Canis lupus familiaris: one gene and its partners. The protein of the gene in region 3 binds, or shares a complex with, the protein of the main gene of each other region. Links are inferred from orthologs where the notes say so. Each region holds a gene or a part of one and is shown on either strand. Other genes may lie near its edges.

What was found. The genes of interacting proteins can lie anywhere in the genome.
Region 1: the proteins of CCKBR (region 3) and GNAI2 are in contact, whole or in part, in a cryo-EM structure (PDB 7F8V), measured with the Homo sapiens proteins. The link is inferred for Canis lupus familiaris from reciprocal best matches to the Homo sapiens genes CCKBR and GNAI2. Residues at the interface, in NP_795344.1 of Homo sapiens: Thr87, Thr89, Arg152, Ala155, Ile156, Pro159, Leu160, Ala162, Arg163, Val164, Thr167, Ser169, Ile241, Gly248, Leu249, Lys328, Val331, Leu335, His394, Arg396; in NP_002061.1 of Homo sapiens: Glu28, Ala31, Arg32, Glu33, Val34, Lys193, Leu195, Thr220, Phe337, Thr341, Asp342, Ile344, Ile345, Asn348, Leu349, Lys350, Asp351, Cys352, Gly353, Leu354, Phe355.
Region 2: the proteins of CCKBR (region 3) and GAST are in contact, whole or in part, in a cryo-EM structure (PDB 7XOW), measured with the Homo sapiens proteins. The link is inferred for Canis lupus familiaris from reciprocal best matches to the Homo sapiens genes CCKBR and GAST. Residues at the interface, in NP_795344.1 of Homo sapiens: Cys107, Pro114, Asn115, Gly118, Thr119, Phe120, Met134, Gly135, Val138, Tyr189, Gln204, Cys205, His207, Leu222, Val349, Tyr350, Ala352, Asn353, Arg356, Pro361, Ala363, His364, Leu367, Ser368, Ile372, His376, Tyr380; in NP_000796.1 of Homo sapiens: Glu85, Ala86, Tyr87, Gly88, Trp89, Met90, Asp91, Phe92.

Annotation. Positions count from the first base shown.
Region 1 is NC_049241.1:39,499,361-39,503,485, forward strand, and holds the start of GNAI2 (guanine nucleotide-binding protein G(i) subunit alpha-2), read right to left. Parts: upstream 2,801-4,125; 5' UTR 2,765-2,800; coding exon 2,647-2,764; intron 2,640-2,646; exon of another isoform or gene 65-2,639; intron 1-64. UniProt on the Homo sapiens protein: Guanine nucleotide-binding proteins (G proteins) are involved as modulators or transducers in various transmembrane signaling systems.
Region 2 is NC_049230.1:20,957,940-20,961,867, forward strand, and holds GAST (gastrin), read right to left. Parts: upstream 2,801-3,928; 5' UTR 2,604-2,800; intron 1,016-2,603; 5' UTR 1,011-1,015; coding exon 800-1,010; intron 681-799; coding exon 577-680; 3' UTR 495-576; downstream 1-494. UniProt on the Homo sapiens protein: Gastrin stimulates the stomach mucosa to produce and secrete hydrochloric acid and the pancreas to secrete its digestive enzymes. It also stimulates smooth muscle contraction and increases blood circulation and water secretion in the stomach and intestine.
Region 3 is NC_049242.1:30,102,086-30,106,336, forward strand, and holds the start of CCKBR (gastrin/cholecystokinin type B receptor), read left to right. Parts: upstream 1-1,451; coding exon 1,452-1,602; intron 1,603-2,555; exon of another isoform or gene 2,556-2,668; intron 2,669-4,251. UniProt on the Homo sapiens protein: Receptor for gastrin and cholecystokinin. The CCK-B receptors occur throughout the central nervous system where they modulate anxiety, analgesia, arousal, and neuroleptic activity.

The DNA of each region.
Region 1 (4,125 bases), on a different chromosome or scaffold from region 3:
ACACCAGCCCATCCCAAATCAGAGACATTCCCCCAAAACACAAAGCCAAGGCCCCACATCCCACCTGGGAACTGTTGGTCAGTCAGGTTGAACTAGGTGGTGGTGGTGGGGGTGTCCCAGAAGTAGGGCTGGTATCAGCAGCTCTGCCCCTCTCGACCAAGCTCCAGGAAAAACACTCTCATGGCATGTACCACATCTGCCTCTGCCCCCGGTGCCCATCCGCCAGCAGGGCTACCCAGGAGGGCAAGGAGCCAGGATGCGGGTGGGGCAGCAGGCGTGGTTCTGGCTGGAAGGGAAGGCTGGCAATTGCCCAACCTAAGAGTCCCGTTGCCTGGACAGAATTCTTCCCGCTACATGGGACAGGCACCCAGCACTCTGAAGCTGCCCCAGCTGGGCTCCCATCACCTCCCGGTACCTGGATGGGCCAGCCAGGACCCTTACCCAGGCAGCCATGGCAGATTGGCAGTTTCAGGCAGAGGTAGGTCTCTCAGCCCCTTGCTGTATACCCTCTGCAAGGCCTTACTTAGTTCCCATCCCCTACCCCCAACAGGAACCTCCACGGGGCCCCTATTCCCTCCATCCTGGGCCCAGCGCTCTTTGGCCCCAACCCAGGAAGCCCATTCAACAGAAGAAGCAAAGGCCAGAGGGGGAGCAGGATGCTGAGGTGGACTCCTCAGCCTAGAAAATGCTGAGCCAGACCCTGCACCCCTGCTTGCTGCCGGGCCAGTGTGGGAGGGGATGCCAGGCCCAAAACCTGAGCTGAGCTCCAAGGAACAAGACTAGTGGAATGGGGTTGGTGCACAGAGGGCCAGGAGCCCTCTGTGTCACGGCCCTATGGCCCAGTCCCACGTCTCCTCAGCCCATCAGCCCGAGAAGGGGCCAGCCAGAGGCCCCTGGGTGGGCACCAGGGGACAGCGATACCAGAAGGACCCTACCCAGGCCCAGTGGGCAGCGGCAACGGGCCCTCCACCTTGGCGACACCCACTCACTGGTGCTGCCGCACTCGCAGCAAAGACAGGAAGAGGCAAGCGCCCAACGCAAAACAGCCCAGGAGGCTGGGCCGCCGCCCCTTCCCGCCCCTTCTCTTCCTACCCGCAGCGGCGGCGGAACGGATGCCATTTTGAAACCTCTGGGCTGTGCCCCTGAGGCCAGGCCCCCAGGGACAGTCAACAGATGGGCTCAGATGGGAGACACACTGTCCCTCGGCCAGGCCCCCAGCAAGGAGGCTCTGCTGTTCACAGCCCGGGGACCCCACCGCGGCTCTGAGGCTGAGGGGCCACACCCCCCCACAGACACTGTCCAGCCTCCAGAGCTGCTGCGAGGGCACCTCTCCCCCAACCCCAAAGCCCCCGAATCAGGCTGCCACCGGGCACCGCACCTGCTCCCGGCGGGAGGCCGCTTAGGGACAGCTTCCAGGCCCACAGTCTTCGTGAAAGTCCACCTCAGATGCCTCCCAACTCCATCTGGCCCCCAAGTCCTCATCTAGCTGGTCCGCCACTTCCCCCTTACAGGGCCTCAGGATCTGACAGGCCCCCTGACTCCCGGAGGCCAAGTCTTTGGCCTTTCGGCCCAGAAAGGGTGCGGGAAGCCCAGCACCCGTCAACATATCTCCTCGGCCCGCCCGCCGGGGCAGCAATATGTCGGCTGTCTCACCACTTCCACTTCCCCCCACCCCTCAAGCCGCCACCATCTTCCCTGGCCTTGGAGGCGCCGCAACCCAAACTCCTCCATACTCACTCCCTCCTACTCCCCAGACGCCCCCCTCACCGGCCCAGATGGGGCTTAGAAACTGGGAAACGGCCAGCGGGAGGAATCTCCCCGCGAAGCTTGAGGCCCGATTCCCTCCCCCAGCGCAACCAGTGGAGCCTCAGTCCAGCCCCTGAGTCTGGGCCCCCACCACCCCGCCGGGCCCGGCCCAGCCCACCGGTGCAGGAGGGGTGGGGGAATCTGGAAGGCCAAAGTGTGGGGAAAGGACTTAGGGGAGGAGAAGCAGGGGGTTTGAGTAGTACTGTGTGCAGAGAGCGACCTGGTGGGCCAGATGGAGGGAGGAGTATCTAAAGGTTTAGGGGTTCTGGCAGGAGAGAGGGCTCATGGGCAATCACAGTTTCCACTGAAGAAGTACCCTGGAGTCAGGGTGCACAGGTGGAGGATACAGGGTTCAGAGTAGGGATGGGGCAAAGAGCGGGAAGGAGGGAGGTGGGGGCTGGCAGGGGCCCCATGGATATTTATGCCCAATAGGAACAAGGTGAGCAGGTGGGGGAAACAGGTGGTGCCTGAGAGTGGGGGCAAGTGGGGTTCTGGGTTTTTGAGTAAAGTCTAGAGAAGGATGGAAGGACAAGGCAGGGGGACTCTGAGGGTCTGTGAGGTTGGTCAGCAAGGGTCGATGGTCAAGCAGGTTCTGGGTCTGGGGGTTAGGCGTCTGCGAGTTGAGGGTCTGATCTACAGTCTGGGCTTCCGATCAGAGATCTAGGCCAACCCAGAGTTTTGAACCATTATTTGGGTGTCCTGGCCAGGCGGGGTCTGGGAGTTCAAGTCCAGGTATAGGGGGTGAGGTCAGGACTTGAAGGCCCTTAGTCTGGAGGTCAAAGTCCTCGTCTGGGGATTCGGGCGGGGAATCGGGGGTCCCAGAGCAGGGCGCGGCCTCACCCAAAAGCAGCAACTTCACCTCCCGCGCCGCCTTCTCCCCGTCTTCCCGCAGGTTCTTGTCGATCATCTTGGAGCGTTCGGCCGCCGCCTTGTCCTCGGCACTCACGGTGCAGCCCATCCCGCCGTCCGCCGGCCCGGCCGCCGCCCGGCCCCCGCACGGCCCCCGGCCCGGCTCGGCCCCGCCCGACCCACACGGCTCCCGCCGCCGGGCCTCTACGAGTAGCTCTCGGGTCGGCAGTTCCGAGCGTCTGCGGGCGGCGCCTTCCCGGCCGCCGCGCACCGACGGCGGGGCGGGCCGAGGGTGGGGCCGGAGCAGGCCAGGCCCGGGACTGGGCCGGGGCGGGCCCGAAGGCGGGGCCAGGGGAGAACCGGGGCCGCTGATTGGCTCGAGGGCGGAGCGAATGGCAGTTAGGCCCCGCCCAGACCCGGGCCCGGGCTGAAGGCGGAGCCGCGCGGAGGAAGAGGGGCAGGCGCGGAGCCAAGCCCAGAGGGATTGGGCTCGGGGCGAGCTGCGGGCGGGGCTGGGCTCCGATTGGGTGCCGAGCGCTCGGCGCTCCGCGGCCCGACGGCGGGGGCGGGCGGATCTTGTAGCCCGAGGGTGGGGATCCGGGGCACCTCGCTGGCTGGGCAGAAACCAACCCTCGAGCTTAAGCAAGTTGGGCTAGCGGGGTGGAGGAGGCGTGTCTTCGTCCTGTTAAAGTTAATGAACCCAATAAACTTGTTTCGGGATCTTCAGAGCCCCGGAGCCTCTCTAAACTTCGGCTTTCTCTGTCTTAAGGCGGGTTTGACCTCTTCTCTCTCGGTTTGCAGCTTAAAAAATGTCTGCTGCCACTTCTACACCTTTGCCCAGCTGTCTCCCTCAGCCGGGTGCCTCCTCTCCTCACCCAAATCTTTAAATATCCTTCATCGATCTGGGAAGCATCCTCCTGCCTGTAGTCATCCGGGACTCTAGCCTGGGACATGGCAACCAGGCCCAGAGAGAGAGAGGTGGGGGGTGGGGAAAAGAAAGGTCTACCTGATTTCTGGATAGATGAGTGGCGCTGATCCTATGACCTGTCCCCACTGGACAGTGGCTGCACCCCTATGGCTGGGCAAAGGTGGACGGAGGCCAGCAGCGTTTCTAGCAGAACATTGCAGTCTTTCTGATCCTCTTCAGGAAGGGAGCCCTGACCTCTAATGGACTTCCAGTGAAAGGTCTGCCAAGGGTTACAGAGAAATATGTCCTGTGTGGCCCCACTACCATGAGGCGAGGACGCCCCAGCCCAAAGACCAAGAAGGTCTACAAAGCCAGGAAGGGAGCTGGCCACCCACAGCCCCCTGTTCAGCATAAACTCCCTCCTTACCACCGGGCCACACATCTTGTCTCAGCTCCAAATCCTCAGGCCGTCTGCTCTCCCTGGAGGGTCTATGGATCCCTATCTGAATGGCTCCCTTGTTGGGGAGCCATTGGCCTGTAAGTCCTCCAGTGGTTCCTCCAGG
Region 2 (3,928 bases), on a different chromosome or scaffold from region 3:
GGGAGAGAGGAGGAACATGGCACCTGCCCTGAGGACAACAGGGCTGGGCTTAGGGCTCTGGCAAGTTTAGGTTTTATTCTAAATGCAACAGGAAGCATTGGAGGGTTAAAACCTGGGGTGGCACAATTTGATTTATCTTTTAGAAAGCTGACTCTGGGGCACCTGGGTGGCTCAGTCCATTAAGCATCTGCCTTTGGCTAAGGTCATGATCCCAGAGTCTTGGAATAGAGTCCGGCCTCGGTCTCCCTGCTCAGCGGGGAGTCTGCGTCTCTCTCTCCCTCTACCCCTCCCCACTGCTCCCCCCCCCAAATAAATAAATAAGTAAAATATTAAAAAGTGAAAAGGAAAGCTGACTCTGGTTGCGACCCCATCACCATTTTTCACCTGTGTGACTAGATTTGTGGTCAGTGTTAGGCTGGCTAGGAGGAAAGTGCTCAGTCTCAACCCTGGCCCCACCAACTCCCCTCTCCTGCCCCACACTTGACACAAGGTGATCCATTGGAAGCTAGTTTATTTTGATTGGTTTTTCATGGGGCTGGGCGGGGCTGGGAGATAGCTGGGCTTTGAAGCTCTGTCCTAGGGACGTTGGTCCCCTTCCTCAGCACTGCGGCGGCCGAAGTCCATCCATCCGTATGCTGCTTCTTCTTCTTCCATCCACGGTCCCTGCTTCTTGGACAGGTCTGAGGGTCAGAGGAGGAAGAGGATGTGAGGATACGGGAAGGATGGTTAGCTGCCAAACCAAGGCCAGGGCCAACCCTGGCTGGGTGAGGCAAACAGAGGCGGCTGTCCTGGTTCCTACCTGCCACCAGCTGTGGGGGACCCTGGAGCCCTAGCTGCCTTCGGTGGTGAGAGGCTGGGCCCAGTTGGTCCAGCCCATGTGGCTCCAGACCCCTATTTGCTCCTGGACCCGAGGGTGCATCTTGCAGCCGGGAGCGGGGCTTCCAAGAAGCTTCAGAGAAGGTGGCCAGAGCCAGTGCCAAGATCAGTACATACACACACAGTCGCTGCATCTTGTCTGCAAAGGAAAGAGGGGCAGAGCTGAAAGCCGGGCCGTACGGGGCACCCCTGTCCATCCAGGGGCCTGGACCAGATGGACTCTGCTGGCACGTATGCCGCTGTGTGGGGTTGTGGACTGTTCCTCATTTTGCTTCTCCAGTTCCTGCCAGGCACTCCTACTCCCAGGCCTGGCCCCTTCCCTCCTCACCTACCTTAATTACAGCAGCAGCTTCTCTCAGAGGAATTTACAACCTGGAGCAACTTCTGCAAAATTCAAGGCCATGTGAGTGGCTCTGTAGATATTTACGTTTGTAGTTTAAAGTGAGCTTTTATTTATTTTTGTTTTTTAAAAAAGATTTTATTTATTTGACAGAGAGAAAGAGCGAGAGCACACAAACAGGGGGAACAGGAGAGGGAGAAGCAGGCTCCCTACTGAACAGAGAGCCCGATGTGGGACTTGATTCAGGACCCCTGGATCATGACCTAAGCTGAAGGCAGACACTTAACTGACTGAGCCACACAGGTGCCCCTGAAGTGAGCTTTTAAACAGTAACACCAAAGTGCACATTACAGACTGCAGGGTATCTCTTTGGAGGCCACCAGCATATTCACTATCTGGTCGGGTCACACCGTTTCTGTGCCGCCCGAGGAGGGAAACTTAGCTTGCCAATTTTGCTTAACTGAGGAATATCTTGCGATTATAATCAAGCAGTTAAAAATGAAGCTGTTGCCGTTTGCACCTGTGTGTCAGGGTGACCTGAGTTTGGGGAAGCCATAATACAGAGATAAACTGGGTATTCAAATGACTCTAAAATTCCATTCTCTGCATTTGTGTTCTTTCATCCTCATTATATGGATGGGCTTTATCAGAAGCAAAATATAAAAATGTTACCTTCCAGGAACACACTTATATGAATAAAATACTATTTTTATCTGTTTTTCACAGTGAGGTTCTCTGTTAGATTTCCTTTGGGTTCTTGATGCTAAAGATACACGATTGAACGGTCAGTGATCAAAGCCACACAGGCCCATTCTAGCCACATGTATTGTCCAATGTGGTAGCTACTGGCCCCATGTGGCTCTTTACATGTAAATTAATTAATATTAAAATTTTCTCCCCCAGGAGAGCCACCTTTCCAGTGCACCTGTGGCTGGTGGCTACCATATTGGATGGTGCAGATACAGATCCCCTCCTCATGGAAAGTTATTTCAGACAGTGCTGGTCTAAGAAAGAGCTTGAGATGGGATCCAGAAGCCCTGGGTTCTAGTTCCAATCCTGCCAAATAATTTGTGTGACTTTGGACAAGTCACATCTCCTTCAGGGCCTCAGATTTTTCACCCGAGAGATGAGAGAATAGCCTTTGTCCTTCTCACCTTGCAGACCTGGGGTGAGCGTGAAGTAGGAGGGTTGAAGCATCAGGTCAGCTCAAAGGAAAAGGGTTAGGAATGCCAGGGTGGGTTCTAGAGCTGAGACCTAGTATGGCCTCGAGCTAAGAGAAGGGTGGCAGCCCTGGAGACACGGAGGCGTGAGCCTGGTACCTTGATGCAGGGAGTCCTCCCATCAACCCTCTTCCCCGCCTTTATAATCCCCTCCTGGGTTCTCTCACCTGCAGAGCTGGGAGGTGGGCGATGCTGTAGCTGGCCTGGTGTCTTTCCGTTCTCTGCTCTGCTGGGTGCTCCAGCGCTGCCTTATAAAGCTCTCAGGGCCCCTCCCAGACCCCCATGAGGCCAGCCTCCGCTATAGCAAGACAAAAGGGGGTGGGCACAGGTACGTCACCCCTGCCCTACCCCATCATTCAGTCAGTCATCCACATGTGGGAAGGGAAGGGAGTTGACCTTCATGGCAGTGAGGAGTAGGTGCAGGGTTGGAGCAGTTCTTCAGCTGGACATGAGGGCAGGCAGGACCCCAGGGGCTCCCTGGGATCAGGAACAGTGCCCCCCACCCAGTCGTTGGGGTCAGAGTCCTGGGACGCATCAGTCCTCTGACTCTGTCCCATTGGAGGGCAGGTGAGGCAGATGCACCGAGTGACCTTGGATTCAGAGGAAGCATATTTCATCATACATTGATGTTTGAAGAGCAGGGAGTGTGTGGTTGTGGAGTGCTGTATTGATCCCCTGTCCCTTCTGCTGGGCTCTGCAAACAGTGCGTGAGGTAGTTATCAGGGGCAATGGGGCATGGGCTGATGGCCCCATTTTCTCTGCCCGGGGCTGCAGCTGGTTGCCTCTTCACCACCCTTGCCTGGAAATCCCTGAACACTCCCCACTCCTTGTGCCTTAGTGCTGGCTGGGTTTGGCTTGCAGCTCCCCTCCATCACAGGTCTGCCCTTTACCCCCAGCCTCTTGCAACCCCCCTACTCAGGGCTGATTCCTTCAGGCGGCTGTACTTGGAGGCTCCCTCCTTTGGTTTTCAAGGGAGATAGCAATCTGAATAACTCATTCACCACTTTTCAATATAAAAATACATCTTAGGGGCACCTGGGTGGCTCAGTGGTTGAGCATCTGCCTTTGGCTCAGGTCATGATCCTGTGGTCCTGGGATTGAGTCCTGAATTAGGCTCCCCAGAGGGATCCGGCTTCTCCCTCTGCCTATGTCTCTGCCTCTCTCTGTGTTTTCTCATGAATAGATAAATAAAATCCTTAAAAAAAATATGTCTTAAAGTGGTTAGCAAAGAGGCTAAAGGGTTTGCCCAAGATGTGCCAGAGCACCAGACAGTAAGCTTGTTGACTTCTTTGATAAATTGCCACCTTGGCCTGGTTTGGACAGATGTAACTAGTTCTAGGCTGCTTTTGATTTTTCCATGGTTGGCATTAGAGATTTTGCTCTTGTTCATGTGTCATCAGGGCCCCTCCTTGTCTGGGGGAGTTCTGATGCCCCTTGGGTCTGGATAAGGGGCAGTGGTACCCACGCTCACAGCCAGCCTTGCTGAGAATTA
Region 3 (4,251 bases):
ACTCCGTGCTAGCTGGAACAGGTCCTCTCCAAAATATAGACTGGATAGGGCTCTCTGAATTCCCCAGAAACTCAGACCTCATCCACAGTCTAATCTGCTCTTTGACCGGTGCCCCCACCTCCAACAGATACTGCTGGGAGCCCATGAGTGGAATTTCAAGGTCATATTGGAGTTTCCTTGGAATGAAGAATGGAGGGCCAGCACGGCTGAAATATAGTGGAGGCAGGTCCTGCCAGAGGAACTGAGCCCACCACCTCAGGCTTGTGTTTGTCCCCTTAAGCTTTGCTCCCGCTGCATCCCAGGGATCTGGCCCCTTTCCGGTCCCCTCTCCTGGGAACCTGACCCTCCCCCCCATGGCTGCTCCACCTGCACTGGGAGCAAACAGGGAGGGCCAGTGTGTCGGTGAGGGTGGGCGAGGGTGGGCGCTGCCTGGAGACCATGAGAGCCAGCCGCCCCCTTTCCTCTTGTGCCCAGGGCTGGGCCGGGATTGGAACCAAGCCCCACCATCAGCGCCCCCCCTCCCCCGTTCATTCTAAGCTGTTCTCACTGCTACCCAGGCGGCCCTGACCCCCAAGTCAGACTCTTCCTCCGCGCAGCCTTTTTGCGAGCCAAGATTGCCCGAGGACAAGTGCTGCCCGCCAACACCCCCGCACACACCCCGCCCCGCCGGCGTCCTTGCCCCGGGGCGGAGGGTTCCTTGGGAGCCTGGGTGTTGCGCCCCAAGATAGGAGGCGGAGGGTGTGGGGGCAGATGCAGGGGCAGATGCAGGGGCCGCCCCAGCCCCTTGCGAAGAGATTCAGGGAACTATGAGAGCGATAGTGTCACGGTCACTGGGGCCACTGCGGCACAGGACAGTAACCCGCGGCTGATGCCACCGTGTTAAGTGCCACCTCCACGTCCCCTGACCCACCAGGGGGAAATGCCGGATCCCACGGCAGCCGCGCCCTAACTCCTCTTACCCTCTCCCCCCCCCGCACCTCCCTCTCCGCCACCCCTCCATCCACCCGTAACCCCCACCGCTACCCTCGCCCATACACGCGCGCACACACACACGCACGCACACACACGCACACACACGCACACACACGCACACTCCCAAGAATTCCACCGAGGGACGGTGGCGAAGGGGAGTGGGCGGGAAGGAAATCTCTAGGAGAAAACCGGGGAGCCCGGGGAGGGGGCGAGCCTGAAGGCCATCGGGGGGCGGGGAGCGCGAGTCCCGAGCGTGGGAGGGGGGCGGGGAGTCACCTGGCGGGACCGCGGCGGCCGAGCCCGGCGGGGAGGCGAGCCTAGGCGGGGCGCGCAGAGGAGGAGCGGCGGGGCAGGGGCCAGGGCTGGGGGCGGGGACCAGGCGGGGCGGGAGCCTCCGCCCGAGCCGCGGCGCGAGCAGGTGGAGCCGCAGCGGGAGCCCGCCCGGCCGAGCGGAGGGAGGCGGTGGCTGGGCCGGGGCCATGGAGCTGCTAAAGCTGAACCGGAGCGCGCAGGGGTCCGGAGCCGGGCCGGGGGCTTCCCTGTGCCGCGCGGGGGGCGCCCTCCTCAACAGCAGCGGTGCGGGCAATCTCAGCTGCGAGCCGCCTCGCCTCCGCGGAGCCGGGACACGAGGTGGGTGCCCCCCTAAACCCCCTCCGCCAGCTCCTTCTCGCTGCACCCCACACCGGTAGAGGCCCCCACTGCCTCCCCGGACGCCTACACCATCCCCTCAGTACTCCCTCGGTCCCCAAACAGCCCCCCCGACACTTCTGCCCCCCCCCACCCCCCCGCCCGTGCCCTCCCCAGCTCATTAAAAACTCCATCACAGCTTCACACCACCTGATGGGAGCCCCCTCACACCCGGGGCTCCCGGCCGCACCCAACACAGAGCCCCCTTCTAGGCACAGACGGTCAGGGGGCAAGGACCTCCTCTTCCCTCCAGGTCTCTCTTCCTTTTAAATCCAGTTCACAGAGCCACAATGGGGAAGGAAAGAAAAGAAAAGAAGGCAAGACTGGGGAAAGAAGAGGGTTGGAGGAGGGAGGGAGCACTCTGGAAGGCTTAAATGGGAAGTCAGTTATAATCTCCTGTGTCCCCCACCCCAACCCCCAGCCTCACCAGAAGAGAGCCTCAAACCTGAGTTAGGCTGGACATGGGGGGCTGCTCCCTAGAGCTGCCTGTCTCCATTTCACTCCTCAAATCCTCCAGCCTCCCAAGGTGGAATTCTAATCAAGACTCTGTCCCCTCTCTCTTCTGTCTCCCAGGCCCTTCCAAGGCCCCTCTCCAACCTGCCTCTCTTTAGGTCTCATCTTCTTACAGCCTGGCTTGGCCCTTCATCTCCTATCCATTGTGCCACCATCTCTTCCCCACCCCCAGTGGTTCCACTTACTCAGTCCCCAAAATGACTTTCACTCCTCCCACGGGCCAACAGCCGCATTTTGTTGATAACCCAGCTCACAATATATGTTTTCCCTTCCTAAACCTTTTCTTTCCTTAAATGTCTCCTGAACACCTGCTGTTGTAGTTGAGCAAGTGCTGGGGACATAGGGATGAAACAGACCCAGTCTAGACCCTCTTCTGTCCACAGTCAAGTGCAAAGGGAGACAAACCAGTGAGAAAATAACAACGTGAGAAGTCCCAGGAGAGGGTCTGAATTGTGGGCATCCAAAGGAGATGGAAACCAAGAACTTCATAGACGAGGTGAACCTGGGAGCTCGGTCTTGAAGTCAGCCTCCTGAGAAGTAACTGAATAAAAATTAAAAAGATGAAGGAAAGCCAAACAAGTGAAGGGGCAGGAATGGCATAAAATAAAATAAAATAAAATAAAATAAAATAAAATAAAATAAATAAAAAACCAGCATTCTAAGCCGAGGAACAATATGATTAAGTGCCCAAAGTTTAAATCTATGGCACTTTCGTTCGCTGTGTCAGTTTCTGAGTGCCTGAAACATACAGTATAAGAGAGGGAAAATGAGCACTCGGGATGAAGACCAGAGTTTATGGTCTAGAGGGTTTATGAAGAGCCTCATAGACCAGGCTAAGGAGTGGGGATTTTTTTTTAAAGATTTTATTTATTTATTTGAGAGAATGAGCACGAGCCAGGGGGAGGAGCAAAGGGAGAGGGAGAAGCAGACTCCCCTCTGAGTAGGGAGCCAGTGCTACCAACCTGGGGCTCAATCCCAAGACCCTGGGATCATGACCTGAACTGAAAGCAGATACTTAACCCACTGAGTTGCCAAGGTACCCCAGGAGTGTGGATTTTTTATTATGAGGGTAATGGCAACTACTGAAAGGCTCCACAGTACAGCCAGGATTAGTTCTATAGTGTAGAGGATGGACTGGAGTACAAGATAGGAAAGGTGGGGGCTTGGGACGCCTGGGTGGCTCAGTGGTTAATCGCCTGCCTTCAACCCAGGGCGTGATCCTGGAGTCCTAGGATCGAATCCTGTATCGGACTCCCTGCATGGAGCCTGCCTCTCTCTGCCTGTGTCTCTGCCTCTCTTTCTCTGTCTCTCATGAATAAATTAATAAAAATCTTTTTAAAAAATGAAAGTGGGGGCTGGGGGGACACTTTAGAAGGCTACTATATTACTCTGGTGAAAGATGATGGGGGCTTAGACTAAGGTATTCACAGTGGGGATGGAGAGAAGTGGGTGGATTTGAGAAGCACTTCTGGAAGGAATCAACAGAATTTGGTGATTCATTGGAAATGGAGAGGGAGGAAGAGGTCAGGGGATGACATCTAGGTCTCTGGCTTGGACAAATAGATTAATGTTGGTGCTATATCATGAAGAAAACAAAGGAACAGAAACAAGTTTGAAGGAGAAGATTATAAATTCAGCTTGGAACCCACTGAGTTTAAATGCTGGTGAGATGCCCAGGTGTGGTTAACCAGTGAACTGTTGAATCTGGTCAGGATCTTAGGGGAGAGGTATCAGCTGAAAATACAGATTTAAAATGTCTTTGCCTACAGGAGTTAATGGAAGCCACGGGAATAGATAAAATCATACAAAGATTATATAGGATAAAAAGAAAAGAGGTCCTGGGGCAGAACCCCAAAGGAAATTGATATTTTTTTTCAAGATTTTATTTATTTATTCATGAGAGACACAGAGAGAGAGAGAGAGAGAGAGAGAGAGAGAGAGGCAGAGACACAGGCAGAGGGAGAAGCAGGCTCCATGCAGGGAGTCTGACGTGGGACTTGATCCCAGGTCTCCAGGATCAGACCCTGGGCCAAAGGTGGCACTAAACCGCTGAGCCACCCGGGCTGCCCAGGAGATTGA